3 linked regions of the Oryzias latipes genome follow. The protein of the gene in region 3 purifies or fractionates together with the protein of the main gene of each other region. This does not show direct contact. Links are inferred from orthologs where the notes say so. Each region holds a gene or a part of one and is shown on either strand. Other genes may lie near its edges.

Region 1 (11,440 bases), on a different chromosome or scaffold from region 3:
AAGTTTATCAATCTTCAGAGCTGCATATCATTTTTATGACCTTTTGTTGCATCACTCTGTCCTTAAATGATGCACTGGAAATGGAATAAAAATGAAAAGATGTTCTCCAAATTTCACTGGTGCTCCGTTAAAGGGCCTATATCATGCAAAATCATCTTTTTAGCTTTTAAGTGTATTATTATGTTCATTACTCACAAAAAACAACCACAAAGCACTTTTTGCTCTATGGTTGACACCATGAAATGGTAAAAAGTTGGTGCCTCTGAGATCAAGTCGTCTTACTTGCGGGTAGGAAATGAGCTGCGACAATAACTCATTAAAAAAGGTAAATAAATCCTCCTATATTTGGATATAGTTTACTCTGAAAAGCTTACGAAAAGCATGATTTAGGCCCTTTATGTTTACAGACCCATGAATCAACAGTAAAGTGATTCGTTTATCTGCTAATGTCTTAAAGTTCCTGAAAAAAGGGCCGGATGTCTTACTGTTTTAAGGTCAGAACCTTACCAGCAATAGTTGGGCCCCCTCCTCATTTATCTCTGGAACAAAATCTGTTATTGGGCGAGCATGGAGAAGGGGGAAGTTTTTTCTGGACACGGTAACATCAGTGGGCCACTCCTCCTCTGGGGGTAAGCCAAGAACTCTGCAAGGACAAGATGCTTTCAGGCAAACTGGACTTTCACAGATGATCCTCCTGGTAAACCTCGGGTGGAGTTTTCTGCTACTTACTCGAAGATTTTGCCAAGTTGGTCCATCTCTGACTCTCCGCAGAACAAAGGTCTACCAAAGAGAGTTTAGAATGAGGAAGCAGGCTTTATCAAAGTCTGGAGAGGGTTGGGTTTTAGCTTTTTGCCCGTAGATTAATAGCTTTAAAAAGGAATCAACGAAAACTGTCAAATTTAGCACCAACTAATATTTTGCCACAATCCAATTAGAGGCACATTTATTTATTTTACATTTTCGTGAAAGAACAGTTTTATTTGATTGAGAAAAACAGTTTTAACAGTTAAACAAAAATAAAGTGGGATAAAACAAGAAATCCTACAGTAAAAAACAACTAAAAGCATTTCTTCCCTGAAAAAAAAAAGATACAAAAATTGTTTTGAAGGAAAGTTATTCCCTATTTTCTTAAATCAACATTGCAGTTTCGAATTAAAAATTTCCTTTATTTTGAATAATTATTATTTTTTTACCTCCAGCAAGAAACGTTTAAAATGTTTTAGGACATATAATAAAACCATTAGGTGAGAAATTATAAAACAGGCATCTGGATTATCAATGGCGTTACCAACGTCTTTGTATTAAAAGAAGCAAATATTTACAGGAATTCACTTTTCTTTGTCATATTATGTGAATTCGGCACAATCTAATATTTCAAGGTGGATGAGCTGTGCAGCTTTTAAAAACATATTGGTCCTATTGTTAATTGTCTCATTTAAAAGTTCCCACTGCTATAAAGTAACATGAAATATTAGGCAAATAAAGAACTCTTCCATTGATTTTTCAAACTATGATACTCCCCTTCCTACAAATAGACAACTGTTGGTTCCAAAAGATGCCAAATTGGTTCATTAGCAAATAAATAAAATAAAAAAAATCAACATTTTGAAGTGAATCCAGTACTTTCCTAAGGACTGGGGCATGGATATTTCCTTTTAAAGTGACAAACACACTTGGCTGACCTCCATATGATGATGCACGGAGCGGATTTATTTCAGTCTCATCTCATGCGTTTAATCTGCAGTCTCAGTCATTCGTGTCACTCACTTGCGTCTAAACATTTCAGCAAAAATGCAGCCCGTGCTCCAAATGTCCACAGGAGTGGCGTAGCTGGACTGCAGCAGAACTTCGGGGGGTCGATACCACAACGTCACCACCTGCAGCACAAACATATTCCCGTCTCACAGAGATCCATATTCGTTTAGGCCAAACATATGAAGAAAACATTTCTTAAAGATGTTTTTCTGGAGATCTTGGATTAAGTCTACAACCTGTTGTTTAGGGTTTTACTGCAGGTAAAAATAATAACAATAAAAACACAGGCAGGCAGAAAGGGAGCATTGAGAAGCTAAAAAAAAGACCTCGAAGTATGCTTCTCTAAAATCTAACACAGAACTTCCGCTCTTATTCCTTATCAATTTTCAAACTTTTGGCACTTTGGTGAATGAAAAAGGATGCTATCCATATGTCGCTACCAAAGCCGAGTCCCTCACTGGTCAAAGTTCAGCCCAGTATAATGCACGTTTTGTAGAGAGCCCAAAAACGGTCATAGAAACTTGTGTGGCGACGACGCGTGAATGCGAGAGTTTTGAACGCTGAAACCTAATCCACGTACAAAGATTTCTCATAAGAAATGGTCACTTGAACGCGCTTTGCCAAATGCGGTGTAAACGTTAAGAGAACTGGTCAGAGTAAGTGAGACGTCACCTATAGGAAACGGCTTACTTGCAGCTCCAACCAAGTGAGGTCAATTCAGTTCAGTCGCCTTTATTTTATTTTTTTAAATAGGGTTGTCAGTAAGCAGCAATTGGTCGGAGTCTGTCTGAGTCCACATTTCTATAGAAACCACTCTCACCAATCATGAGCGAGCTTGTTGGAAGTCCACACCACTTAAAAGCAAGCTACACAAAATCTGTCAATCAAATGTTTCAAGACACCGCCTACTTTTATTGAGGAACAAGATTGGCCAGTTTATAACTACAGTAAAAAGAAAATCATTAAAAAAAATTGGAGGATTATCAAGAATATGTTCAAAAAGGTACCAGAGCAAGAATGGTCATTTTGACACACAGAACGACTGCTTATTTCTCTATAGACGTCTATGGGATTTTGACTTCTTGGAGCCAGTGGTTACTTCCTGTTTGGAACGCCAGAAGGGGAGGGGTCACTCAGTCCAGCTCTCCTTTACACTCAATGGTAGCAAAGCCGATTGTTTATTGTGTGAGTTATCAAATAGTTATGGTATGTAAAAAACGCAAGTTATTTAGGTGTTGCCAGCGACACCATTCTGGTGTTAAACGGTCAGGGTTGTGTCGTAACTGAAAATGATTTATTCCAAGAAAAGAAGCCAAAACAGACAGCAAAAACAAATGAAATAATCATCTCCAAAGCGATTGTTCAAAAAAACAACATTAACCAAACCGCTGCTGATGATCAAGACGTGAGCACACAGCAGATCTTACCACAGGAGTGAGGGCCATGTGGCAGCTGTATATCCTCGCTAAGCCAAAGTCTGCTAGTTTGACCTGGCCCTGGCTGGTCACCAGAATGTTCTCGGGTTTCAGGTCTCTGTGCATCACGCGGTTTGAGTGGAGGAAGGAGAGGCCAGACAGCAACTGCTTCATCAAGTCCTGAAGACAGAGAAATATTTCACACAAAAAAAGAAAGAGAATCAGTTCCAAACAGTAGCTGCCATCAGTTTTTATTCTTTTCTTCAGGGACTCACTTTCACGCGCTCTGGTGACAACCCTGGAGCTGGAGCTCTCTCTAGATACGTTTTCAGGTCTTGGTCCACATGCTCAAACACCAGAGTGACTTTGGTTTCCTGGTCGGATCTCTTGGTGGCACACACATCCATAAGCCTGGATGAAAGTAGCAAGCACTGATGAGGTGGAGGGGGGGCAACATTTGAGACAAAACCTGTGATAACTCTCCTACCTGACCACATTGGGGTGGTCAAACTGCTCTAGGCGCTTCAACAGCGCCACCTCTCTGACCGTGGACACCGGGAGGCCATTTTGGTCAGTCTGGACGCGCACGTTCTTCAGGGCGACGAACTTGCCACTCTCGATGTCGCGAGCCTTGTAGACGGTCCCGTATGCGCCACCACCGATCTCTGCCACCGGCTCGTACTGCAGACCGGTGCACTGCGCCATGCTCAGACTGGGAGACGAGACTGGGGTCATCTCACATTTATACAGACACCTCAAACTCCAGAGCAGCACTTTTGAGGGATTTACTGAGGGAAAAAGTCTTTAAAAGAACCACTCCAAAAGAAAACAGCGTTTCTGGTTGTTTGACATGTTTTGGTAGCATTTTCTTCTCATGTTGGAGGACATATATTAGGAAAATTGAAATTAAAACTGCTTTACTACTTCTTCTTTTTTCAAATCATAGTGAATCAGGAGCAGACCAAAAACTGCTGTTAGAAAAAGTTTTTACTTGTATACAAAATACAATCGGCGGGCCTCAAGCTCCCTGTTTCTGTCCATGCAGATACATCCACTCGCAGATGACTAGATCCATCTTCGTTTTCCTCGTCTGAGCTAGTATCTGGCTCAAAGCTATATGGCCGGGTAACTCCAATAATGATCACCATTTATTTGTGCTGCTTGCGGTTGTGAGGGACTGTAAGCTAGCAAGACAGAATGCAGACAAAGGGATGATGGGAAGTCAGGGCAGGCTTGCTCAACACAACTCAGAGGAAAAATTTTGATTACCGTAACTCCATCTGCTCTGCAGAAACTATGTCCTAGAAAATTACACAACATTAAAAGATCACTGGGAACGCTTTTAAAATAGATCAAATGATGATTGGAGTGGCTCTTTAGTGTTTTTAAATCAGGAATCTCTCTCTGCACATAAGGAATGGTTTGACAATGATGCCTGGCTGGATTGATCCCTTCCCCAGAGTGACATGTGACATTTGTGTCACTTTGTGTCAAAACTTTCCTGAGCTTCTCCTGTGCGTTTAGTGTTTCGTTTTCCTGCAGCAAGTTTTTCTGCCTCTGCTGTTTGTTTACAGCATAGAAACCAGAGGACAAAAGAGCCGCAAAAAGATCAATTTATACACATTAAAAGCACATTTTTGAGAGACTTTTGCATAAAGCACCAACACAGTGGAGCATTTTTCTTTAACTTGGTTTATCCTAAATGATGGGAAAATGCTTTTTGGTAATTTTTTTGGAAATGAATATATATACTATTCCAGATTAGAGTACATGGAATTATGTAAAAACTTATTTTTATAAATCAAACAACATACAATAAATAGAAAAGAAATAAAATTCACAAATCTATAAATTTTTAACTAAAACAATCATTTCTGTGTTTTGGGAGAGACACAGTGAGTCCAGAGTATAAACTAGGTGAAACTCCCAACAGCCGTTGTTTGAGGGGATCTTCTTGAACCAGTTTGCGCATGACAGCAGCTCGTGATCACAGAAAAATGTATCGATTATCAGATAGGCAAAGCCGGACGTTCGCCCTCCATGTCTCATTCATTCCCCGCCTTATCAAGCGAGAAGCAGGCCGGTGACTCCAAAGCAGTGGGCGGATGTTCATGTGAAATCAGTAGGCCGGGGCAGACACGTGGTGCTCCTCTGTGGCAGTCCTTTGTTAATTTAGAGCAAGAAAATGCAGCAGAAACAGTCCACATGCACTTTTCTAGCTCACACACGCACACACACGTGTCTGATCATTGGTCTGAACGTGGCGGAAGAAAAAGCGGGGGACTATAGTCAGCGGCGGAGGAGACACATCACCGCCTTTTAACTTTTCACATCTGTTCAACATAAAAGCGTAACGCGGCAAAACCATACTCCTCCGCAGGTTTGTGTATTCGACAGGTCACACATAAAAAAAGCTTACCTCGGCCGTTTTTTTTCTTTAAGGGCAAGAGAGCTCACTTTAGTTCGAGCATGCTCGTTGATCTGCCACGTTTATCTGGAGCAGAACGGGTCAGAGGTGGCAGGTCGAGTCCAGGCTGAAGTTTACGGCCGAACAGCGACTTTGATGTGGAAAAGATTTCGGCCTCCGCCGCTTTCCTTCCAGCCTGCGCTCGTTTTCGGTTATCTTCCTGTTGCTTTAGCTTCTCAGGGGGCGGAGCTTAAGTTTTTACCACAAACCATTTGAAGAAAAAAACAAAAAAAGCTTTTTGTTATCAAAAGCCACAAATTCGTGCGACCTATTTTTTGTTAAGCCGTTTTATTTAAAAAAGGGGGGAAAACGACCCCACTTGCTTCACATAAGAGGGAGAAAACAGTGATTTACTGTTTACACTAAATAAAAAAGAAATGGACAAAAATGTTATAAACTTGGAAAGCCTATATCTTATTATAGAGGTTTTTAATACATATATTTCATTTTAAGGCAATGTAATTAGGTAATTCAATAATCAAATCATGGTTGATTGGGTTTTTTATAAGATACCTAACTTTTCTATTCTTCAACCAGAAATTAAGTCAATAAACTAGAGTATCTTCACTGGAAGTGTTTTATTTTTTTTCACTCCATTGACTTACACAACTGCAAACTATCATTGTGGTTGTTTACACCACAGTTAAAACTGTGGTTTTGTTTAGAGAACTGAATAGATCAATGTTAAAAAAGAATTAGAAAATGAATGTAATTAAATATGTTGAAAGAAAATATTTACATTGTTAAAAAAAAACCTTTTATACAAATAGTTGAAATTAAAAATCTCAATCTCTAAAAAATTATTTAATTCAGTGATTTGGATTTTCAAATTAAGTGAATGTCAACATTTTAATGACGTCCACAATGTGGTTTTCTAATTATTTTGATCCTACGGTATGCTGCCTTCTTTTTCATGAATGTATTGTAAAGATTAGTATGTTAACATTAATGATTTATTTGTAAATAACGGGTTAAATAAAAAGCTAAATGTGTTGTAAAAACATGATTTTTAAAAATATATGCACATCAGTTTAAATATTTTCTTGAGAGTTGATACCAGCATAGTTTTTAGTTGTTCATTAATGTTACCATAAAAGCTTACTTTAAATTTATTCATTGCAAAATGAGACAAAATTGGTCAAAATTTTGTCCTATTTTAAAAACAAACAAACAAATAAAATACACCCTCAAGGTATAAAACATTTAACTCTGTTCAAAATAAATTTAATGCAACATTATGTGGTAAATTCAATACTATAAAATGCCAGTTTTGCATGTTTAAAAGATAAGAGATTAGACCTCAAGCCAGAACTTATTAAAAGTTCACTAACTTACATCGTAAAATATTTAAACTCACAAATAAGAGTTTCCTCAATTTTGATTTTTCAAATTAGTAAAAATGTCATTAAAAAAAATAATGTCATAAAAATAAAAATATACAGAAAGGAGTAGTTATTATATTACCCAGTGTTGTCTGTCTTTAAGCCACTTTTGTAAGATCTGGTAAAAGAAGTGCCATCAAGTTTGATCTGTCCCCTGTCTCTGGAGGAATCATAGTGACCCTCAAGGGCATAAATGTCCCATGTGTGTCCATTTACAGTGTGCTACACAGCTGCAGAACCAAAGAGGGGATGCTCTTCACTGGAGGCAGGAAAAATACAACAACTGGGTTTTTTATCTACATTTATGGGACTTTTTCCTCTCAATATTTCAGACACACAGGTCTTTGTCTGCCCCAAGATGATCAAACTCTTCCAGTTCAGGCAATCAGTCTGGATTATTTTAAGAGAAGACTAAAGAAGATGTACGTTTAGATAACTAATGTGAAAAAGGATCACAAGTACACTGTAATCAACCACACATTTAATTACAAAGTTTCGCAATTTAACTTAATCTGAGGAAATGAGTAGCATTTTTTTCAATTTTGTTTTAAAAGATCTTTATTAAGTATAAAAGTAACTACACAATCTTTGTGATTAAACATCAATAGTGGACTTGTGGTCATCTAAAATTGCAGCATTACAGTTTGTGTTCTCTGTTCTGCATAGAAAATCTATGTATAGCCCTTGTTTACTCTTCTTCTTCAGTGTCGTTCTGCTGCATGCTGAAGGGAAAGCTGCATATACTTTTTAGACACGTTAGATTCTCAAGGCTCGAAATGGGTCTTAAACAACAGCTTGTTTTATTTTGAAATGAAAAAGGTGCTAGTATCTAAAGGTGAAAAAGGTGTCCACGTGGAATGGCCTTGAACTCACAGGGTTAGGAAGCTGAAAACCTTTTTATATAAATAACACCTTTCAGAAAAAAATCCCAAAGTGCTTCCTGGTGCAAAATGTAAGTACAAGGCATAAAGTAAAACCTTTAAGTTAAAATAAAACCAGTCAAAAGGCTTTAAGTGTCTTGAGCTGTCAAGGAAACTTTTTGGTTGTGCAAATAAATAGAGGGTGGTAGGGCATGAGGATTGAAGGACACCACCCACAACGACAGCACCCATCTGCAATGTGGTCTGGAACAAGAAGACCTCTAATGGAAACGGATCTGAAACTGACGGACGATCATCTGCTCCCAAAGTAGAACACCCAATCTTCAACAACGCATAAGCCAAAATAAAAAGACAGACTTTCACAAAAGAATTGGATTCAATAACAGCAACCAAAAATAATTTTAAAAAAACACGTTGATTTTTGAATGTATGTCAGAAGTTAAACAAACTGAATACTGAGGAAGATTAATATTTTTCTTTTGACTTTTTATTTTGAGTTTATTGATACTGACGAAACCAAGAATGTAAGACAACACAAAACACATAAACCACATAATAAACAAGTAGATGTTGTACCATCCCATAAACAAACAAACATGTGTTCACCCTTACATACATATAGTAATAGGCAGAAAAACAAGGGAAACGGGAGATGTAAGATTTGCATAATAATCTTTCTTCATGCTTTTTCTGCATTTTAGTTATATTTTTTACAACACATGTGACCTTAGTGTTTAGCGACACTTCTAAGTATTCCTGAACAGAAGTACTTTTAGAAGTGTTTGCACACGCAAAACCTTCGCCACTCCGATTATCTTTTAATCCATTGTAAAAGTGTTCCCAGTGTTTTATTTTATTTATGATTATGCCGTTTTTAACCAAAGTTTTTTTTTTTTAAACTGTTGTTTCTTTTCTGGACATAGTTTCTGCAGAGCGGCAGGAGTTCATTAGAAATTCATCTCTGAGTTGTGGCCAGGACTGTTGGCTTAGAGCAAGCCCGCCCCCTTTTCCAATCGTTCATCCCTTTACACTCTTTTCTCTTCAGCTAGCTTACAGCCCCTCACAACACCAAGCTAACATTACCTTTGTAACAAAAGTGGTTAGCAATATCAGAGCTATCCAGCCGCACAGATGCCAGCTCGGACGAGAAAACGAAGATCTACATGGATCTACTTGTCTGCAAGTTGATGCATCAGAATGGAGCAGAGTAGTAAGCAGGAAGTGTTTACTACGTCACAAATAAGCTCTTTTTCAAAGGCATTTTTCGTCTGCTCCTGATTCACATAGATGTAAATATAGAAATACTCAAAAATGCAATTTGAAGCTTAATTTCTATATGATATGTTCTCCATCGTGAGAAAAATGCCACACGAACATGTCAAAAACACCAAAAAGGCGATTTCCATCGGAGTGGGTCTCTAACGACTGTTTCCTTTCTGGGATAAACATGCATGAGCACGTGGGCTGCACGTCACAGGAATATCAGCACCTTGGACAGCAGCCACAGTCGGCGCAGCGCCTTCTATGGATGGAGCTCTTTCTTTCCCCATCAATCTGCTCGGATCCCAGGAGCATTCACGGGGAAACTGATAATGAAGTTCACATTCCAGGTCGAAGATGCTCCAAACTGTTCTGAAATTCAAAATTGTAGGGAAGGAAAAACATCCGCCTAACCAGGTACCTTTCTGGAGTCAGTCACGTGAAGTGGCACTTCGTTGTCCCACTCGTTGCCGGAGGCCACCGTGTGATTCGGTGAAGAAGCACAGAGGAGGATGAAGGATTTCGTGTGAGGATCCCGTCGGGGGGCAGCAACTCCGCCGGGGGCGCATCCCAGGTTTGCAGGAATCTGCATAGCGACTCTCTTTGTCTTCCTGGTCTGTGTGGCGAAGAGACGGGGTTTTTTTCCCCCCATTAAATTGTTCCTCTTCTTCTGGATGATTAACTTTGTTCTGCTGTACCTGCTTCCGGCAGCGGGAATAAAACCTGCAGGATTTTGATGATCTGTGAATTGATGAATGCCGCTGCGAGACAACAAAGGACGCAGATTTCTGCTCTCGTCTCCAATTACTTCCTTTGACTCAAACAAAAACAGCTTGACAGACAGAATGTCAAGCTTCAGACGGTCTTTGACAAAGAAGAAATATTTTGTTATCAACCTTTAGCAGTTTTATTTCACTATTGACACATAAGAAAACCGTTAATCATTTTTACATCCATAAAAACGATTTGATGAGGAGGAAGACGCTTGACTTTTACGTTAGTGGCTCCATTAAATCCCGACATAATTTCCCCGAAGAATGGTCCCTCCCCATTGGCTGGACTGCAGTGCACATGCTATAACAACAGGATATGCAAAGAGCTGATCTAACAGCCTATCATGTCCTGCACATGCTTTTTGCATCACAGCTCTGCTCTCTGGGCTTGAATGGAGGAAATTCACTAAAAATGATCATAAAAACAGAAGAAAAAAACAATATATTGACTATAATGTGAAAGAGAGAGGAGCCTCTGGAGCTTGTTTTGTTTAAAAAAGCAGTTGTGTACGTTAAAGCTGCTGAAGCATGTTCAAGTTTGAAATCCGGATGTTCTTCAGCGATTTCAAGGTGTTGCTACTGATGAGCTCTGAACCCAGCAGGACTGACGCAGGGACAGGTACGGACACACCGTCGAGGATGAGGGGGCTGGCCTTCGGCAGCTGTGGTTGGCCACACATTAGCTGCTCTCGTCTGGATGATGATGAAAACGATGATGGGGAGAACTATGGGTCAGACCCACAACCCATCAGTGTCAGTTTTGAGGATGCAGAAGGAGCCAAATACCATAAAGGGGGCCTGGATGGAGCCTCTCTCCTGAGTGTCTCTGAAATAGGAGTGCAGACGCCGCAGTGCCGGATCTGCTTCCAGGGACCTGAGAAGGTAAATTTGAGAATTTAGAATGCTGACCAGAAACCATCATTCCAGCAGGTCTTCATCTTCCAGGTTTCTCCGTGTTTTTCAGGATGTTATGTACAAAACATCTTTTATCTGAAACTAACATCATTGATCCCACCAAACTTAGACCTCTAAGCGTTCTAAGTTTTTTTTTGTGATTGCTATGTTGGCCCAAATGACACTTGTTGTGATTTTAAAGCAGATGCTCTCAGAATTGGGTGTTTCCTGAATCATTTCCTTTCTAATTTGCTTTTGAACAAATCTACCATTTGAACTGTACTGTGTTGTGAAGTCTTTTTCTGCAACTTGAACTCATCACTGTCCAGAGTTGGCCTCCTAAACACTTCAAGTCTTTTCTAAGCCACCTTAATTTTCTCCCACGGGCTCGGAGGGAGGGGGAATCAGCAGAATTCAGGTTTGCAGTCTTCACTTTTGTGTTGCAAAAGGAACACTGTGTCTGCAAGTGAATGCATGGCTCACATCAGTTGTGTTGGTTTCACTTTTGATCAGTGATCAGTAAGAATCCATTAAATCGTTTTTTTAAATAAAAAATTCTCAGCAGCTAACCGTAAACCCTGCTCTGTAAATATTAATTCCTACACTGTCTTTT
Region 2 (11,350 bases), on a different chromosome or scaffold from region 3:
TATAACTCCACATTTTAGGTGAATCTAGAAAAAATCCTGCCTTTTTAAATGACTTTTTTAAACTTATTATCAGCACTGCCTGGAACATTTAAAACATTGCTCTTGTTTCCTGAAAATTTTGATTTTTTTTTAAGAAAGGAGGTTTTATATTTTGGCTATCAATATGTGTCTCAGTGACAAATATTTGTTATAAATTAAAAAGAGAATAAAAATCAAAAAAGAAGAATGTTTCACATTTTTGTGGCCAGCTAAATCTGCTGTACCAGCTGCTTATTAAAAAAGTAAAGTCTATCTCCAGGTCCAGAGCTATGGGGGAAGCAAGGGAAGCACCTGCCCCATTGGAAAAAGCTTTGTCCTCCCCCAAAGTTTGAGTCAATATTAGTATTATAAAGAAAGATAAAGAAATCATCAATAAGCTGCTTTAATCATGGCAAAAATAAAAAAAGCAATATTTTAATTGCATCTCAGCTAAAAAAATGCTGTTATCAAATTAACAACAAGAACAAAACAGTTTGAAATTTGGATCCTTTCATTTGTAAAGGCCTTCCACTCTGCTGTTCTCATTTGCCACCCTTCTAAAATTGTCTTCCCCCCTCCCGACCCCCCATGTAACATCTTCAAGTTCAAGCTCCACCACTGCCTATCTCTTAAATATATTATGTTTGCTTTATAAACAACAGGCATCGCTACATGGAAAAAACTTTGGACTTAAGTCAGTTGAATGGCTGCAATATAAGTTCAATGACCCACAGGGTTCTATATAAAAAAAACTGAGCCTGATGTCGACTCAAGACAAGTGAGCAAGTCTAACCACTCCTGGCTTCTAAACTCAGGATGCTGGAAAGTGATGTGGGGTCAAAGTGGGGCAGAGGTCAGGAAGGGAGTGGGTCAGGGTGGATGATGTGCTTTTGAGATGTAAGTGGAGAAGTCCATGTGATTCGCACTAAATCCTTCATATTTAGTTATTGTGGCCCCCAAACAAGAATTGAAGTAGATACATTGGTCTGGACTGGACTCACTTTTTCCTGTAGTCGTCCCTCTCCCTCTTGACTTTTGCCAGCACGTTGTACAGCGCCCTCACTTCTGGGGTGATGGTGTCAATTTGAACCCCAACTCCATCTGGGTGCGTCCACGTGACTCCAGGCCCCTGCAGGGTCTCATAGCGCTCTCCTTGCCTCCGGATGTGGGTGAAGCTCCAGATGGTGCCGGGCAGTCTGGATCCGGGACCGTCCGTCTGCACGGCCACCTCGCGGGCGAACGGGTGTCGGTACTGCGGTCGCTGCAGGGCCTGCTGCAGCTGGCTCTCCAGCACTTTGTTCCTCCTCTCCAGCTCGTGGACTTTGGCGAGGAAGCAGCGGAAGCGCAGGTTGAGGGTTTTCAGGACGTGGATGTTGGAGCCCAGGTCGTTACGCAGGGCGCTGGTCACCGCGCCCGAGCCCGCTGGGACGCTGCACACCGGGCCAGGCACGGAGTCGGAGAAAAACAGCGAACTCATGTTGGAATGAAAAGACAATGAAAAACCACAATCCAGCTTTATGCTTTCGTCTGTTTTACAGACAAATAAATGCCATTTTCCTCCGATTTATCCTCGAGCTCCCACTGACAGTGCGCTCCTCCTCACAATGCAGATGCGGGGACGGAGGAATAGTCCATCACTGTCCAGCTGGGTTTTTTTTTTGTTTTTACCCCGCGACGTTACCATGAACCCCTGCAGCCAAAACAACTCCGGGAAGTCCTTTAAGAGCCACAGAGGACAGCATCTCCTGAAGGGACGGGAGTTTGACGCAGGGCGCAATAAGCTCCAGGCGCACTTCCCCTCACGTCTGCCCCTTCCTCAAGAGCCGCCGCCGCCGCTGCTGCTGCTGCTGCGTGGTGGTGATGATGATGACAAGCCGGCTGACTGATGAGGAGGAAGGCCCACCTTCTGTCTCTATCATACCGTCTAGGGTGACTCCATCCGGTCTCCATACAGAGCGGCGAGGCAGGATTTGGCACCGCAGAGCCCTGCCTCCGTGAAGATCAGGTTGCAAAGTGCTAAACTCGGCACTATCACCTACATCGACCCCTCACACGTCCCACCCTCCGCCCTCCTGTGGCAGAAACCGAAAGCAGCGCTCATTTCAAAACCTTAAGCCTTTCCACCAACTGCTGCAGGCTTAATAGATTCATGTCAAACTCTGAAAACAGAGGCAAAACCTCCCTACTGGAGTTTTCATCCGCTCTATCACATTGTGTGTACACAATGTGTCCCATTTTGTCTTCAAGGCTCATCTGTACAGTTAATGTGTGATACATGAAAGGAGATATTGAAGCGTTTAAGGGTTGAAATGGACAAATAAATATTTTTATGGTAAAATGAATGAAAATGGGCTGTTGAAATCCTTTAGAAAAAAAAATAGGTCTCCTCTCCTTTTCTTTTTTGTTTCCCTAAGGACAGGCATGTCCAAAGTCCATCCCGTTCAAATCTCTACTGCCTTGCCTGCTCAAGTTATAAAAGCAACAATATGCAGACCCATAAGCACATTCTCAGAATTACGATTTTTTTTTATTGTGTTCGGCTAAATGTTATTATAAGCTGTTGTAAATTTGTGGCAACAACCTGTCTTCTTTACCTTTAGAGCCTTACAGATACAAACCACAATGGTTTGCAACTCTGAATTACATTATTTGTTTTATTTTCCTGTTCTCATGATTTACATGTAAAAGTTTACAGCGAGCATTTAATGGGGAATAACACTTCAGATTCTGTGTTGACGAAAGTTTTTTTTTCCACCGACAGACTTTTTGGTCTTCAAATTGGAATTTCACTGTAATTTTGAATGCATTTCTCTGAAAGTTGATTTTGGTTTGATTCCTTTCAATGTGAAGAAATGAAAAGTTTCCCATTGGAGAAAAAAAATCAATCAATCGGTTCATTTGCATTTTATGTTATAACGGTACAAATAATGCAAAACAAAGGTTGGCCCTAACACATTTTCACCACACCAAATCTGGCCCTTTTTGCAAAAGTTTGGACACCTCTGCTTTAATAGCATTTTCAGTGGTGTTTTCCTTGTTTTTCCACTTTATACCATAATAGATCTATATGTTCTATTGTTACGTGAAGCCCTAACACTTTTTGTGTTTCTTAAAGTTACATATTGTTCCTGAAGTAGCTGTCCAAACTGGATTTTTGGGTTACAAAAATGATAGATTTGCTCTATTCTATTACAAAGAGGTAAACAGAAACAATTTGTACCTGTACTGCATTGCTTTGACTGTGTGTGCTGCTTCTCTGTGGCTCAGGTGCTGTTTTGTAGGTTAATCTGTTCATAATCCCCACCAGATGGCAGCTATAATGGGCATAAAAGCTTCAGTGTGTACAGGAGTACGGAAAAGAATATGCAATAAATCTTTTCCTGCAATAACATTCAAGAAAGTATATGATTGATAAGGGCATTTGAAGTATTAATAGCTGTTTTGCAAAATCAGTGCCCAGCTGTTTCAAAATGATCTTTATGGTGCATCACACTGAGTAAGTGAAGCAAGTAAGCCAACACATGATCTGCCCTCCAGTTTTCCCTGATTGGCACTGCTAGGTGTTCACATGATGGTATTTGGAGCAGTAACACTACACCGATGTTCAGTTCCTAGTGTGAAGCAGGTGACCCATTTGTGTTATCAGAGCCAAAGGTTTTTTGTGTTAGTTTCCTAAATAGGCGGTGTAGGTACCGGATGTTCTCGGGTTGCCGGATGTTCTCGGGGTCCTTCAGGGTCCTTCCAATGAGTTCTATCACTAGAGGAGACATCACGTGGTTCCTCATGGGAGGAGAGCACCGCCATCTTGGTGAGGTCAAGTTTTGAAGACCAAACCACTTTTATAACATTTAATAAAGAGCTCTGTTTTTGCTTTCAATCACTTCATTATATGAAAAAGAAGAATGGCTTGAAATTGCTTAGTTTTGTTCAGAAATAAAAACTTCACGAGTACCCCTAACTTAACTAGTATTAGACTACTTAGATTTTTTCTATGTTCCTTTATTTTATTTTACTTATGTTTTTATTTATTTGTGTGTTATGTTCATTGTTTCTTTTTTTCCCCTCTATTATGTATTTTCTATGTCAATATGTTATATTTGGCAATGGTGACTGATCTTCGAGGCAATATTGATTACATCGTTATTGTTCGTTGTTAACGTTAATGTCATTGTTAATGTATGATACCGCAATTGTCAATAAAGTTTTTTAAAAAACTTAGCTACGTTAACTCATTGGTCGTGGCAACTTACAGCCAATCAAATAGTGTGACGTCATCATTGGTCGAAGGACCCCGAAGGACCCCGAGAACATCCGGCAACCCGAGAACATCCGGTACCCTATCAAAGTTTGTCCACAACGTTGCAGAGTTTAGAAGTCCACATATTTCTTCAGGCATTAGAACAAAACTAATTACATGTTTGATACATAAATTAATTAATGGATAAAATATGTTAGAATGTGGGGGGAATGCATCACCAATGAGTTTAATGCGTTTAGTTTAGGTAAATCATTGTTTAAAGTAATTTCAATAAAAAAAAAAACCTGATAATTCTTTTTATTTTTAATCAGGCGCTGTGTGGTCATCTTACAGGAAAAGAAACATTTGGGGTCCTTTTGCTTCACGTGCGCTGTCTGCCAACGTGAACAACCATGCCCAAGTCAAAGAGAGACAAGAAAAGTAAGAAATTAAAAGTTTATATTGATGTGTTTGGTATATTTATTCGATTCCAGTTTTTAAAACCTGTTACCGACTTAAAGCACTCGTTTTTCGGTCGTGGACGTTTTATAAGCTAACAAAAATTAGCACAAATGTGTTACGCGATGCGCTGTAAAGCAATCTAGCCACAGGGGTTGCAAGCCAGTTGCCTCTGTGCCGGTCCCAAGCCCGGATAAATAGAGAGGGTTGCGTCAGGAAGGGCATCCGGCGTAAAAATTGCCAAAATAACCATGCGAATCATCCACAACACTTTTGACATACCGGATCGGTCGAGGCCCGGGTTAACAACGACCGCCACCGATGCTGTTAACCTACAGGGTGTCGGTGGAAATTTGACTACTGTTGGTCGAAGAAAGAGGGGAGGCAGAAGGGTCCGTGGCCAGAGAGAGAAGGGAAAAGGCAGGAACATAGGTTTGAGAATAGGGACTCTTAACGTTGGCACAATGACAGGGAAAGGCAGAGAGCTGGCAGACATGATGGAGAGAAGGAAGGTAGATGTACTGTGTGTGCAGGAGACAAGGTGGAAGGGCAGCAAGGCACGTAGTATTGGAGGAGGATACAAACTGTTCTATCATGGTGTTGATAGGAAGAGAAACGGGGTAGGTGTGATTCTGAAGGGGGAGTTTGTAAACAGTGTTCTAGAGGTGAAAAGAGTCTCAGACAGGATGATGAGCCTAAAGTTAGAAATTGAAGGGGTGATGGTGAATGTAGTCAGTGGGTATGCGCCACAGGTTGGCTGTGAGTTAGAAGTGAAGGAGAGATTCTGGAGTGAGTTGGATGAGGTCATAGAGAGTATCCCCAGAGGAGAGAGAGTTGTTATTGGAGCAGACTTTAATGGGCATGTTGGTGAGGGCAACAGAGGTGATGAGGAGGTGATGGGCAGGTTTGGTGTGAATGAAAGGAATCTGGAGGGACAGATGGTGGTGGACTTTGCGAAGAGGATGGAAATGGCTGTAGTCAACACTTACTTCCAGAAGAGAGAGGAACATAGAGTGACATACAGAAGTGGAGGTAGGAGTACTCAGGTGGACTACATCCTATGTAGACGAGGTCATTTGAGAGAGGTTAATGACTGCAAAGTGGTGGTAGGAGAGAGTGTAGCCAAACAGCACCGCATGGTGGTGTGTAAGATGACTCTGGAGGTCAGGAAGAAGAAGAGAGGGAAAACAGAAAAGAAGACCAAGTGGTGGAAGCTACAGAATGAAGAAACTTGTGAGGAATTTAGGCAGAAGTTGAGGCAGGTCCTGGGTGGTCAGGATGAGCTTCCAGATGACTGGGAAACTACAGCAGAGATTATCAGGGAAACAGGTAGGAAGGTGCTAGGTGTGTCATCTGGAAAGAGGAAAGACGGTAAAGAGACTTGGTGGTGGAATGAGGAAGTACAGGAATGCGTCCAGAGGAAGAGGTTGGCTAAAAGGAAGTGGGATGTAGAAAGGACTGAGGAAGGTAGACATGAGTACAAGGAAGCGCAGCGTAGAGTGAAGAGAGAGGTGGCAAAGGCCAAACAGAAAGCTTACGATGAGCTATATGACAGGTTAGACACAAAGGAAGGAGAGAAGGACTTGTACAGGCTAGCCAGACAGAGAGACAGAGATGGGAAGGACGTGCAACAGATAAGGGTGATTAAGGACAGAGACGGAAAGGTGCTAACAACCCAGGAGAGTGTACAGAAAAGATGGAAGGAGTATTTTGAGGAGCTGATGAACGAGGAAAATGACAGGGAAAGAAGGGAGGAAGATGTGGTTGTTGTGGAGCAGGAAGTAGCAGAGATTGGAAAGGATGAGGTTAGGAAGGCTCTGAAAAGGATGAAGAGCGGAAAGGCCGTTGGTCCTGATGACGTACCTGTGGAGGTATGGAAGTGCTTAGGAGAGACAGCAGTGGAATTTCTAACGAGTTTTTTCAATAGGATTCTAGAGAGTGAGAAGATGCCTGAGGAATGGAGGAGAAGCGTTCTGGTTCCGATCTTTAAGAACAAGGGTGACACGCAGAACTGCAGCAACTATAGAGGAATAAAGTTGATGAGCCACACAATGAAGCTGTGGGAAAGAGTAGTGGAAGCCAGGCTTAGGAAGAAGGTGGAGATTTGTGAGCAGCAGTATGGTTTCATGCCCCGTAAGAGCACCACTGATGCCATTTTTGCTTTGAGAATGTTGATGGAAAAGTACAGAGAAGGTCAGAAGGAGCTGCATTGTGTGTTCGTAGATTTAGAGAAGGCGTATGACAGGGTGCCGAGGGAGGAGCTGTGGTACTGTATGAGGTCGTCTGGAGTGGCAGAGAAGTATGTCAGAGTAGTTCAGGACATGTATGAGAGAAGTATGACGGTGGTGAGATGTGCTGTAGGTCAGACAGAGGAGTTCAAGGTGGAGGTGGGACTACACCAAGGATCAGCTTTGAGTCCTTTTTTGTTTGCTATGCTGATGGACAGGCTGACAGACGAGGTAAGACAGGAATCTCCCTGGACAATGATGTTTGCGGATGACATCGTAATTTGCAGTGAGAGTAGAGAGCAGGTGGAGGAACAGCTAGAGAGGTGGAGGTTTGCTCTGGAAAGAAGAGGCATGAAGGTCAGTCGTAGTAAGACAGAATACATGTGTCTGAACGAGAGGGATCAAGGTAGAAGCGTTAGGTTACAGGGGGCTGAGGTGAAGAAGGTGCAGGAGTTTAAGTACTTGGGGTCAACAGTTCAGTGTGATGGGGAGTGTGGAAAAGAGGTGAAGAGGCGAGTGCAGGCAGGTTGGAGCGGGTGGAGGAAAGTGTCAGGAGTGTTGTGTGACAGAAGAGTGCCAGCAAGACTCAAAGGAAAGGTGTACAAGACAGTGGTGAGACCAGCTCTGCTCTATGGGTTAGAGACGGTAGCAGTGAGACAGAGACAAGAGGCTGAGATGGAGGTAGCGGAGATGAAGATGTTGAGGTTCTCCTTAGGAGTGACCAGGTTAGACAGGATAAGGAACGAGTACATCAGAGGGACGGCTCATGTTGCCTGTGTTAGCGACAAAGTCAGAGAAGCCAGACTGAGATGGTTTGGACATGTTCAGAGGAGGGATAGTGGATATATTGGTAGAAGGATGTTGGAGATGGAGCTGCCTGGCAGGAGGGCAAGAGGACGGCCAAAGAGGAGATACATGGATGTCTTGACAGAGGACATGAAGTTGGCTAATGTTAGGGTAGAAGATGTTCATGATAGAGTGAGGTGGAAAAGGATGATTCGCTGTGGCGACCCCTGATGGGAAAAGCCGAAAGAGAAAGAAGATGCGCTGTAAAGCAACTGCATCGTTTCAGTCTAACTTAGAGAATGTATTCTTATTTGTTTTTTATTTTCTCAGTTTCGTTAACGAAAACCACGAAGAAAGGATTGGAGTCGAAGCAGAAATTAATTGAGGAGGTAAGTGTTAGTCACCACACAACAATGATAGAATCAAGCAAAAAACAATGAACTAAAACCTCCTCGTTTGTTTTTATTTTGTAGTTAAGAAAATGCGTGGACACATACAGGAACCTGTTCATATTTTCTGTTGAAAATATGAGGAATAACAAGTTAAAAGATATCCGGACAGCATGGAAGCACAGCAGGTAATGGTGCTCTGTTGTGTTCCAAGTTCCTGCTTGTGTTTTGGTTTTGTGTAGTTTTCAGTTTGCTGTCCTGGCTGAAGTCCACCAAGCTAAACTGGGACAGATTTAGCTCATTCCATCATCTGGGTGAACTGAGATCACATGTTTTATTGTAGCTGATAAAATCGTACACTGAAGAATTGGATCTAAGAAGATTTGTTGAATCTTTGGCCATAACATGGCCTGGAATAAGGATTTTCTAATTAATGATATGGAGGTAAAATGGTCTTAAATGGATTTCAGTGTATAATACGTATATTTTGTGTGTCACTGTGTGTACTAAGTGTGTATTCACGTGTACACTTTAATATCACAAACTTACTAATACACTTTACGCCCAACTCAACAGTTTTAGTCACAGACTTTTTTGCAAAATGCCATGCACTTCAAATTCATGCCAACTTCTTTTTTGAGTCCAGTACAAGTCATACTAGAATCACTATACTTGAGTGAGTCAATCGGACAAAAGGCTTCAATGCTTCATCTGCCCATCATTAACGATCGCCACAATAATTTTATTATCATTTTATTTGATCACTTCTCTGCTCACGGTGCACAATCCCCGTTCTAGAGGGCTGCTGTCTTGCTGGTTTTCCATCTATCCCTCCCCTTGCAGCTTCTTAGTGATGGGACACACCTGATCCAGGTAATCTGCTGTAAGTGGGGCAGATATCTTATTGACAAGCTGAACGCTGGTCCCCTGAAGTTGTGGATTTAATAAGTTTGATCTTAAATTGGTTGGAACTGGAATCAAGGCATTGACTATGGTGACGGCACACGCGATCCGTCCAGTTATTTATTATCCAGTCAATGCGTACAGGTGATACTGGTGTACGGTGTCCCTACGCCACACTTCAGCCACTAGTGATGTGCATACCTAAGTGTCCATGAGATAGGTAGGACGTCCACGTAATCTTTGATTATCTAGTTTTCTCAACAGGATCGAGCCTGGTTGCATGCAACAGGAGTCCAAAGAGCAACCACTTTTCCCGTTAACAGCATTAACAAGCTTCCTGTGGAATGCAGAGGATTGGGGGATTGATTCTGATGTTTGTGTCTAATCTACAGATTCTTCTTTGGCAAAAATAAAGTCATGATTGTAGCTTTGGGGAAAGGAAGTCCAGATGAATACAAAGACAATTTGCACAAGGTAAGCAGATATTGACTGTTTTTGAAATGTATAAATGCAATCCGATCCTCCATACTGAAGAGGTTGTAAGTTTTTACGCTTTTGGTGTGCAGGTCAGCAAGTTTCTGCGAGGGGAAGTTGGGGTTCTCTTCACAAACAAAACAAAGGATGAAGTATATGAGTAAGTGATGGTTTCAGTAAAGCTTCTGTTGTTTTATTGGTGCTTTATGTGTTGATCAGCTAAAGAGTGCTGGCCTTCACCTGCAGATACTTCAGTCATTTCAAAGAGATGGATTTTGCCCGCGCTGGAAACCAAGCTCAGATGGACGTAACGCTGGACGAGGGACCTCTTGAGCAGTTCCCACACTCAATGGAGCCTCAGCTAAGACAGCTGGGGCTTCCCACTGCCCTCAAGAAGGGTAAAAAACACTTCAACACTTGTTTTCTGATGACCTTTGAAAGGAAAATTACAAGTAACCCCTGTTAACCTGAAAAGCTCTTAAAAACAGGAATGGTAGTAAAAAAAAAAAAAAAAACACAAATCTCTTTTAATAAGCAGGAAAGTTTAGTGTTACATGAAGAACAGCCGCCTCAAAAGCCCCCTCAGTGACTATTGGAAACCTTGTCCTGCCAGCACAGCAGGGTTTTATGGAGATACATGGAGGGATAAGAAAGGCAGATAGTGGTCAGTGTATTGAAGTTTGCGATCAATAGAAAAACATCGGGGCCAATTACATGTGCTAAGGTAGAGAGTGAGCCGGTCACACGGTAGAACTCTGGCTTTTGTTATGGTCAAAGAATGACGAGAAACATCTGGTCTGGATGTAGCTGTCCCTCTGTTACAGGCAGCTCTTATATGAAGAGGGATCCGAATCAAATGTGGTTAAGAACTTTGTTCTAAATCCTTGGAACAGAACGAGATGCTGGAGATGGATCCATAACTCGACTAGTCTTCTAGACCCGCTCTGATGAAAATAAGGATTTGGGTGTTTTGAACTTTTTTTCTTCTTATGATTATGAAGGAGATATAAAGAAAATTAAACTTAAAATTACATTTCTGCGAATTTCTTTGTTCAAATAGCTGTGAATCAGGAGCAAAAAAGCAATCCACCAAACCGCTTTTTCTTTTTAATTTTGAGTCAACAATTGCAGCTTCATTTTGAAAATGAAAAAAGCATTTCTGGTATTGACTTTTATTCTTAATTATGCTACAGAAAAACTTCCATAACAGGCTCCCTGCTCTTCTCCATGCTGATGCATCCACTCGCAGACAGATCTGTGTACGTCCCGCCTTAATGAACTCCTGCTGCTCTGCAGAAACTGTCCTTGAAAACGGGAGATATTTGGCAGGGTTTTGACTAGAAAACGCATAATTATAATTCAAAGACCACTGGGAACACTTTTAGAATTGATCAAAGGATGATCAGAGTGGACTTCATCAACAAGGAAGAACATTACTTTTAGATGAAATGCTGTTTGAATTGGACAGCAGTCCTGAAACGCTGCAGTTTTGTGTTGAAAAAGGTTCCCTTCAGTGTCGGTTTACTTTTAGATTTAGGATGGATAACCAGTCAAATAAATATTTAAAATATTGTTTTTACACACATTAAATATGCAGTAAAATAGAAAAGCCTGAATGAATCAAATAATGAATGGAAAACAGGAACATTTTGTCAGCTTGTTTGTTTTGATCTGCCGTATTTCAGGAGTGGTAACGTTGCTGAAAGACTACGAAGTCTGCAAAGAAGGAGACATCCTAACTCCTGAGCAGGCTCGGATTCTGGTGAGCTTCTCAGCGTTTCATGTGATTGAAACCTTTGTTTTTCTGCAGTGAGCTTCAATTTCTATGTTCTGTTAACAGAAACTTTTTGCCATCG
Region 3 (8,829 bases):
GTCTGAACGGCTTTTAGAATCCAGGGCTCTGTCGTCCCGCACTCCATAGTTTTTAGTAGTTAGGGGTTATGGCGGGAATTCAGACACAGCCCTAAAGTGAGGAGATGAGGACAACTTTCTTTACTGGAACACGGCGGTTCACTCTGAGAGACAGAGGAAGGATTTCAGAGATTCCTGTGATTTTATGTTAACAATACTGTTATGATGTTCCTGGGTCAATTTGACCCGTAACATAACAGGAGGGTTAACAATACTGTTATGAGTTTTTGTGATGAATATCAGATTATTAATGATGAGTTCCTGAGAAACTGCTGTTGTTAGTCTGAGGTGTTTTCCTACACATTATTGACAAACAAACAAACAAACCAAACTGTGGCTTTTTAAGCACCAAAAACTTGTGTTTTAATGCAACACCCCCCTCCAAAAAGAAGTTCCAAAAAGTTTTCATCGATCTGCCTGCTGCCAACAGAGGGCGCTGCTGTCCGCGGCGCCCTCTACCGCAGGATTCGAACCGCGCACCTCCACCTCCTGCCGCCAGCCTGCAGGAGCCAACCTGCAGCTCTAAGGAGTTAAGGCGGAGGTGCAGCCGCGCCGCTGATCCGGAGCTCAGCCGGGCTTCCGGTTCTGCTGTTCCCATCTATCCAGCCCCGCAGCCTCCGCGCTGAAACCTGAGGCCCGCGTGCGCGTGTGCGCGAGAGCGCCGCCCACTCCCTTCTTAAAAGGCGGCAGTTTGACAGCTCAGAAGTTACTCAGCAGGAGGAATCAGACCGACAGCTCCAGCCTCCGCGCGCTCTCACGGCTGTCACGCGCTCCCAGCCCCGCGAGTGTCTGCAAGCCGCGCGCACCTGAGCAGACCCCTCCAAGCTGGATCCCCGGAGCCCGTCGCCATGCCTGCCCGGGTTTAGGTTCTCCATGGAGCTCTCCAACCTGTACGAGGCCGCGCCCCGACCCCTGATGAGCGCCCTGACCCACGGCCAGCAGCCCCCCTCCGGCTACAGAGACCTGGCGGAGGTCGGCGGGGAGATCGGAGACACCGAGACGTCCATCGACCTGAGCGCCTACATCGACCCGGCGGCCTTCAACGACGACTTCCTGGCGGACCTGTTCCACCACAGCGCCCGGCAGGACAAGCTGAAGCTCATGAGCGGGGAGTACGACCAGTGCGGGGGGGCCCCGCAGCAGCTCTACATGTCCAACTACATGGAGTCCAAGCTGGAGCCGCTCTACGAGCACAACCCGCCGCGCCTGCGCCCGGTGGCCATCAAGCAGGAGCCGCGCGACGACGACGAGCTGAGCGGGGGCATGCCCCCCACCTACCCGCACCCGCAGCAGTACCCCTCGCAGCCCCAGCAGCCGCAGATGCCGCACCTCCAGTACCAGATCGCGCACTGCGCGCAGACCACCATGCACCTCCAGCCGGGCCACCCGACCCCCCCGCCGACCCCGGTGCCCAGCCCGCACCACCACCACCACCACCACCACCACGGGCACGCGCAGCAGGGCAGCATGAAGCTGCTGGAGCAGCGGGGGGGCAAATCCAAGAAGCACGTGGACAAGAGCAGCCCGGAGTACCGACTGCGCCGCGAGCGCAACAACGTGGCTGTGCGCAAAAGCCGCGACAAGGCGAAGCTGCGCAACATGGAGACGCAGCAGAAGGTGGTGGAGCTGAGCGCGGACAACGAGCGCCTGCGGCGGCGGGTGGAGCACCTGACGCGCGAGCTGGACACGCTGCGCGGCATCTTCCGGCAGCTGCCGGACGGATCCTTCAAGCCGCTCAGCTGAGAGGCGCGCGGGCTCTGGGATGGAACTGAGCTCGTGCCTTTTCCGCGCGCACAGGCAGATAAGCTCGTTTTTGTGCCTCATCCAACGCAGCTAAGCGCGCACGCAGCCTTTGGAGCTGTCCGCGTGCGCCTTGAGCCTGCAGATGCGCACGGACTCTCGAGCGCGCGTGCATGACTGAACTCTGATTCTGCAACAAGTGAGATTGGACTGTTTTCCTGCGCACAGACGCTCCGGTTTCTCAAACCGAAGTGTCGAAAAAGTGGATTAAAACTGGAATCGAACCCGCGAGGAAACCGGAGCCGGACTGAGTGTCCTCGCGAAGAAACCAGGATCACAGAATCTGGTTTTTATGCAACAACCAGCGGTGCCTTCTGACCCTCTCTGATGACCTTTGACCTTCGCCTGATCTGTTCAGTGAGGAACAGGGCAGCACTTGTTTGTTTCAGTTGTAAAATAAGCCTATATATAAATATATATGTATGTATGACAGAATATATGTACAAAAATGACCAACATTCAGAAATATTGTAATAAAAAACTGGTTCAGATTCTGGCTTTTGTCCTTGTTTTTTCTCTGGAACTAAACTTTCTGCTCGTCTTTTCTGTCACTAATTGTCATTTCGTGGCTCGTCTGCTGCTGATTCTGACAAATCACTTCCTGTTTTCTTCTGTGTCAATTGTCACTTCACATGTCGGACAAACGCGCAAACCTTGTTAAAACTCGTTTTAAAAAGATAATCTGATAAAAGATCCAGAAATGGACTCCCAAGAAGCATCTTCAAAGAAAAGTCATGACATTTCATTTTCAAAATAAACTTCTGATCCTTTTAGAGACGTTTCAGACTTTTGCTGCTGATGGACAAGAAAACAGGAAAGCAGCCAGAGAAGCAAGCAAACTGTTTGGATGTGAAACATGTTCTGGTTCCACAGGCTGGAGTTTGAAAAGATGAGAAGCATAAAGGATGAGAGGTTTCTGTCCTGGATGGATCTGCTCTAAACGACATGAAGACCCTGAAGGAGCTGCAGACACGTCTGCTGAATCCTGATCAAATAAAATCAAGACGTTTCTGCAGAAATGCAGTGGAGGTCGATTCTGACGCGCTGAAACGCCAAATGACACCAAAAGATGGAAGACATGAAAGGAGATAAACATGATTAAATGAGGAATTCATGATCAATAATTGCAGAAATGATGACAAATGGCGGCAGGTTAGCTCAGGGGGCAGAGCAGGTCGTCCAACAACCGAAGGGTTGGAGGATCGATCCCCGCCCTCCCCAGCCAGCTGCCCCCCCCCAGCAGCTCACCGCTCCCCCAGGGGAGGGGTCAAAATGCGGAGAAGAATTTCCCCGTTGTGGAATAAATAAAGTATCAATTATTAAATGCAAAAGAATTTAACTAGAGGCTTAAAACTAAAGTAACATCTTTATAATAAACTACAGAGAATAAAACGCTGAAGCCGAGTTAGACAGAGAAGAAAAGAGAAGAAGTGAAAAGAAAATCCAAGAAGGTAAAAAGAGTCATGAATAGACACAAACAAAGATGTGAGACTTTATGCTGAAAAGTCAGATCAGACAGAAAATGCTGCAGGGTCGTGTCGGGAAGGGCATCCGGCGTAAAACCAAAGGTGTGGATCCGGGAAATGCCGAAAGGTGAGCTACAAAAATAAAAGCCTAAAGTTCTCCAAAGGAAGCACTTTAATTTGAAAATCCCCGATGATGCGGGACAATACTAACGGGGTAAAAAACCACAATGGTGGCCGAAAAAATGGTTGAAGGAGAAATCCAGAGCCGCTGAACGTCAATCATTTATGCAGCAGCTAAAAGTTTGTCTGTAAACTTTATTTTGGTAAAAAAACAACATAAACAAACTAATCCTGAAGAATTCTATGAATGTTGCTAAACTGAAATAACTCAATCGCTGGACCACCTTTAAAATTCTGTTTTTTCATTTACAGTTTTCACCTGATGTCTTTTTTCTTTCAGTTTAAAAAGACAAAGTTGGAAAAAGTTGATTGGAGGCCGTGACAAACTCAAAGTAATCGACAAAGTGAGGCGTTTGCACTGAAACGCTCCTCACCCTGACAGTCGGCTTTGGTTATTTTCGTGTTTCTCAGAACCAAAACTGCTCGGATCGACGGCGTGGCGGCGGTGGAGGTGGACTGAGTCGAAAACGTTGCTGCTTCCAAGCAGCAGGTTTCCGGAAAGTCCTGTCCTACAAGGCAGAACAATGAGCGCATCCATCAGAGGAGGAAAAAAAAAAGAGTCATGGCTGATTTGTGAGCAACAGACAGCAAACATGTGTTTGGAATAAAAGCTGCTTTCTGGAAGCAGAAGTGAGACCCCCGCTCCCACTCCGGACTCTGGTGTGGGTTTCTGCTTGGCGTCAAACGCCAAAGGACCTCGTCTCACCTTTAGGTGGATTTCTGATCTAAACAAATGAGTCCACAGAATTCCTGAAAGCACGTTGTGCACGGCCTGCAGGGGGCGACGTGGAGACCAGAGGGTCAGTCAAAGTTATGCAGGAAACTATCAGATAAAAGTTTTTCCCGCCTGATAGTGACTGTGAGCCTTTTATCTCAAACCAAAGACTTTTACTGTTTCTAGAACTCTGAAAATCCCTCATTTAAACTCAAAAGTTCACAATGAGCCTTTGCTGAAATAAACATGTCAGCAAGCATGAGAACGGCGTCATCCAAACTCTGCTGCCTTTCTGCAGGCCGACAAGAAGCGGCTTTAACTGAAAACGGAGCCAAGAAGGTTGTGGGTGCAACTTTCAGAGCTTTTATTCTGAAAGGCTCCTGCTGAGACTCACAAAACGCAGCAGAAACCTTCAGTATTTGACTCTAAAACACATTTTACTCCTTTTTTTAAATTTCAAAACAGATTTAGTGACTGAAAGTCGTTGAGGGGACTTCAGTCACATGTGTAGAAAATGTTGGAAAATTGTTTTCAGCTGAACTGTCCAAAGACCAGGAAGACGGAACAAACTTCAAAAAACATTTAAAACGCAAAAGAAAGAAAATGGAAAACGGAAGATTCAGCGAATAAAAGCCTAAAGCCACGAAAATCAATCAGAATAACTGAGGTGAACTTCAAAGTCCCCTCAGATCTTTCTGTACTGACTAATCATGACGCTATTGTTCTACTACGACAAAGATGATGTCAGAAAAATACTTGGAATTTTATGAATATAAATATGGATCATAATTGGTCCAAAATGCTCATTAACTCTGACGACCATGAAGCTCCTGTCACCGGAACAAAACGTTTGGTGACAATAGCTTCAGCATCTTCAGAGCTATTGAGCACATCTATTATGATTGATATCTATTATAATGTGAACAAATACATGCAATAAAATGTTGATTGTAGCATGACCATGCAGACAAGTCTTCATTACCAGCTCATAGAAATGTAGACATTTATTTATTTTGGAGAGATTTTGGATTTTTACAGAAGCTTGCACTTTGTTGACGGTCCCTTGGCAGCCGTCTGGCTGCTCTGTCTGTATTTCCTGCTGGAAGAGATCATTTCTTAGCAAAAAGCAGAAGAAACATCATTTGTAGGTCAACCTCTGTGTTAATACAAAACGATTGAGACTTTTGTCATATTTGAATGTTTATCAGAAGAGTTATTGAGGCCGGAAGTGACCCTTCTGGGCCACCGTACATATCACCTGGAGTGACACCAAAAAGTACTTTTTTTTTTTTTTACACCAACAGTAAACATCGTCTCAAAAATGCCTTCATAGAAACAAATATTGTTAATATTAATATCACAAAAAGTTGTGTTGTCTTTCTGCCTCATTCTGTCTTTCAGTGCAGCTTCAGCAAATATGCAAAATAGCGATTCTGAGAATAAAAATGATTAGAACCAAACTTATAAATTGCGTGTATAGAACAGGTTAGTGGACACACGTTTATTTTAGTATCAGTAGGCTTTACGTGTCATGACAGCAGGTGAAGCCCTGCCTGTCACCTGCCTCTCCAGACCGCACTTTCCTGCTGGAAACGTGTTTCAACCAGGAAGTCCAAACTTCAGAACCGATCCAAACCCGCGCAGATGACGTCCATCCACCCAAAGCAATTTAACCCGCAAAGTCAGAATAAGAACCACCCTACTGAGCGGGAAACCGATGCTGCCTCCGCTCGCTAGCTCACGAGTCTCTGGACTTGCTGTTGTCTGGAATGTACCATTGCTGCAGAAGGACGGGGGGACCAAGCACTTTTACATGATCAATATTATGCCAGTTCAGTCATTTGGCTGTTTTTTATATAAAATGATGGATTTAAAACTTATTTTAGACATTTTTACTACTGTAAGTGTTCAGCTCGGGGCCCCCCCAGAGAGTTGGGGGCCCCAGGCGATCGCCTACCTTTGCCAAACGGTAAGTCCGCGCCTGTCAGGTGAAGCTTTAGTCCCAGTTGTCCTCACGGGTGGATACGACAGCATCACCTGTACGTCATAAGTGCGAGAGTCTTCCATTATCCCTACAAATACTTTACGACTCACCTACCACGTGCACAACAATGGTACGCTCCACTTTCATGACATCTCTAAGGCGGCCGTACGAGCCTCAAGGGACATGAAAGACACACCTGCACTCTCCTTTAGATGCAGCCCCTCCTCTCTATGACCCTCCACGGACCGGACCACCCCAAAACCAGCAGAACCCGTAGGGGTTAACCCCCCCAAACGGGTCATGTGACTAAAGCTTCACAGAAACCTTAGAATCAAATTCAGCATTTTCCATTCCGTATTTCTACGTGAGGAGAAAGGAGCCAACACCAAAAAACAAAGCAGAACCACAGCATGAATAAAGATAATAAATGGCAGCTGATCTCTGAAAGGCGCTGTATTAAAACCAGGTGAGGTGGATGCAGCATCAGCTGGGGATTGTGGGAAAACGACAAAAAGAAGGAGGAGAGCAGGCAGGTTGTTAGGAAGCAACAAGCAGCTGGCAGCGAGTCTGATGACTTCCACATGTTCCCAGCAAACCCAAGTCAGTCTGATTCAACGTGAAAGACATCCCTGAAAAACGCCACCAGCTCGCCGTTCAAGCAGAGCCCTGAGGGGGCGGGGCCCTGAGGGGGCGGGGCCTCTGTGCTCCTGAGGGTGTGAAACCAGAAGAGAGGCCCCGTCGTCCTTGGAAACGGATCCCCCCCTCCTTTCACTGCATTCGGTCATTCTGGGTCTTTTGTTTCAAGCAAACTGTAGGGTTTTGTACAAATGACAGAACCAGAACCTCCAGGTTCTGAAATGACCCGTGGAAACCGGAGGACGGTCAGTCGCATCGGGAGCAGCAGCCAGTTAAAGGAAGTTGAAATCTTTGTTGTTATTGATCAGACTTTCAAAGTTCCACTCCGATCTTCTTCTGATCAGTCGTCATTCAGGGATGATGACCGGAATGATGGGCGGAAATCCAAAAGCCGGTGTCGTTTTCTAGGACCTAGTTTCTGCAGAGCGGCAGGAGTTCAGTAGAAATTCACATCTGAGTTATGACTGTTGGCGTGGAGTGAACCCGCCCTTATTTCCCATCATCCCTCTCCCACTGGCTTACAGCCCCTCACACCCCCAGGTCCTCACTTCACGTCTGCCGTTCTGGTTTGGCAGAAATGTTCTCTCTTTTCCTGAATTGACTCAGGAAAACCTGAAAGCTGAAGATCAAACCGAGGAAAAGTAAAGAACGCGGGTCGGGAGCTGAAGCAGAAACCGCAGACCGAAGGTCCGACCTGAAGAGCAAAGTCCTCCTTCCTGCATCTCCACGGCGTGGGATCAGGAGCGGCGTGCGTGACGACAGCCGGACCCTGGTGGACCGTCATGGTGAGAAGTTGGCTGCCGTCCTCCTGCGGATGGAAGCCATTAGTCTTGCAGCTGGAACCTCTCCTCCCTCCGTTCCCTCCTTTCTGCCTTATTTCTCTCTGGTTGCTTCTGGCCCGGTTCAGGCCCGCTTGGCCGGACCTCAGGATCCTCTCACACGGCTCGGTGAGCCGCTTCCAGGGTTACTGCTGACAAATCGCTGTCATTTTGCCGGTTAGGATGTAATTGGCTGCAGAACGTTGAGTTGAGGTTTGGACGGATCGTCTGATCCTGCAGTTACAGAAAAACTGGACTCTAAATCAGGTTTCTGCTCTCTTTATGAGCATTAATGTTGCTTTTCACAGAAATAAACAGATGGGATCCAGTGACTCGTCGCCAGAAACCTGCAGGAGGTTCTGAGAAGTTCCCAGGATTCTCAGAACCTGGACTCCGGCCCGTTCAGGCTTCTCGAGACGCCGGGAGTCTTCAGGACTGGAGGAGCAACCAGAGCTTCAAGGATGTCTGAGAGGAAGACTGGAGATGAGATGAAGGTGGTTAACGTTTTTCAGGATCCAGCTTTCTATGAACAGCAGCTGCAGCCAAAAGTCTGCTTTTCAAAAGGTCGGAGAAACAAAAACATCAGAGTCCGGAAGCCTCCTTCAGAATGTGCTGGACACCCGACACCATGTCCAAAGCCCCTCAGGCAGACGGAAAAGGGTTTCTGGTTTGTTCTTCTCATGGAGGAACCCGGTGAGACCAGGAGAAGTGGAGACACCTCCCAGATGTTTAGGTGTTCCCAGACAGAAGGAGGACCTCTGGACGCTGGCTGGACTCTCCTGGAGGAAGGAGGAAGACCTGACCTCCTCTGAAGGCCGCTCCACGTCCTGAGGAGTCTGCTGAGGAGGTCAGGATGAAGGGGGGCGGGGCCAGTCAGACCTCAGCAGCTGGATCTGTCAGCTGTTGGGGGAACATCTGGATCTCAGAGGGTTTCTGAAATGTGAGGAAACTTTCAGCTTGGCTCATGAAACTGCAGAGAACATCCAGGTGAAGGTGAAAACCCGGAGCTCCTCCCCTCGTCTCAGAACCGGATCATGGAGCGGTGATGGACGGAGAACCTGAGGCTGTTGGGTCATGAAGGTCTGTGTTGCTGCTGGAGAACACAGACCTTCTGGGGTTTTAGGGAGGATTTCTGGTTCTGACCGTAACATTTACAGCCCAATGATGAGTTTCAGGACTAAAGCAGACCCG

The links.
Region 1: the proteins of cebpa (region 3) and cdk4 purify together in Homo sapiens (affinity purification with western blotting; 3 studies listed by BioGRID, with this or other methods). This does not show direct contact. The link is inferred for Oryzias latipes from reciprocal best matches to the Homo sapiens genes CEBPA and CDK4.
Region 2: the proteins of cebpa (region 3) and mrto4 purify together in Homo sapiens (affinity purification with mass spectrometry; 3 studies listed by BioGRID and IntAct, with this or other methods). This does not show direct contact. The link is inferred for Oryzias latipes from reciprocal best matches to the Homo sapiens genes CEBPA and MRTO4.

What each region holds. Positions count from the first base shown.
Region 1 is NC_019863.2:27,217,847-27,229,286, reverse strand, and holds the start of cdk4 (cyclin-dependent kinase 4), read right to left. Parts: upstream 5,815-11,440; 5' UTR 5,590-5,814; intron 3,883-5,589; 5' UTR 3,876-3,882; coding exon 3,658-3,875; intron 3,582-3,657; coding exon 3,446-3,581; intron 3,351-3,445; coding exon 3,183-3,350; intron 1,878-3,182; coding exon 1,768-1,877; intron 781-1,767; coding exon 730-780; intron 644-729; coding exon 508-643; intron 1-507. Other genes in the region: E3 ubiquitin-protein ligase MARCH9, read left to right, coding at 10,462-10,815.
Region 2 is NC_019863.2:9,135,252-9,146,601, reverse strand, and holds the start of mrto4 (mRNA turnover protein 4 homolog), read left to right. Parts: upstream 1-4,571; 5' UTR 4,572-4,668; coding exon 4,669-4,696; intron 4,697-8,058; coding exon 8,059-8,117; intron 8,118-8,201; coding exon 8,202-8,305; intron 8,306-9,412; coding exon 9,413-9,494; intron 9,495-9,586; coding exon 9,587-9,654; intron 9,655-9,740; coding exon 9,741-9,892; intron 9,893-11,179; coding exon 11,180-11,256; intron 11,257-11,334; coding exon 11,335-11,350. Other genes in the region: iffo2 (intermediate filament family orphan 2), read right to left, coding at 1,020-1,495. UniProt on the Homo sapiens protein: Component of the ribosome assembly machinery. Nuclear paralog of the ribosomal protein P0, it binds pre-60S subunits at an early stage of assembly in the nucleolus, and is replaced by P0 in cytoplasmic pre-60S subunits and mature 80S ribosomes.
Region 3 is NC_019861.2:37,779,430-37,788,258, forward strand, and holds cebpa (CCAAT/enhancer-binding protein alpha), read left to right. Parts: upstream 1-719; 5' UTR 720-912; coding exon 913-1,782; 3' UTR 1,783-2,334; downstream 2,335-8,829. UniProt on the Homo sapiens protein: Transcription factor that coordinates proliferation arrest and the differentiation of myeloid progenitors, adipocytes, hepatocytes, and cells of the lung and the placenta.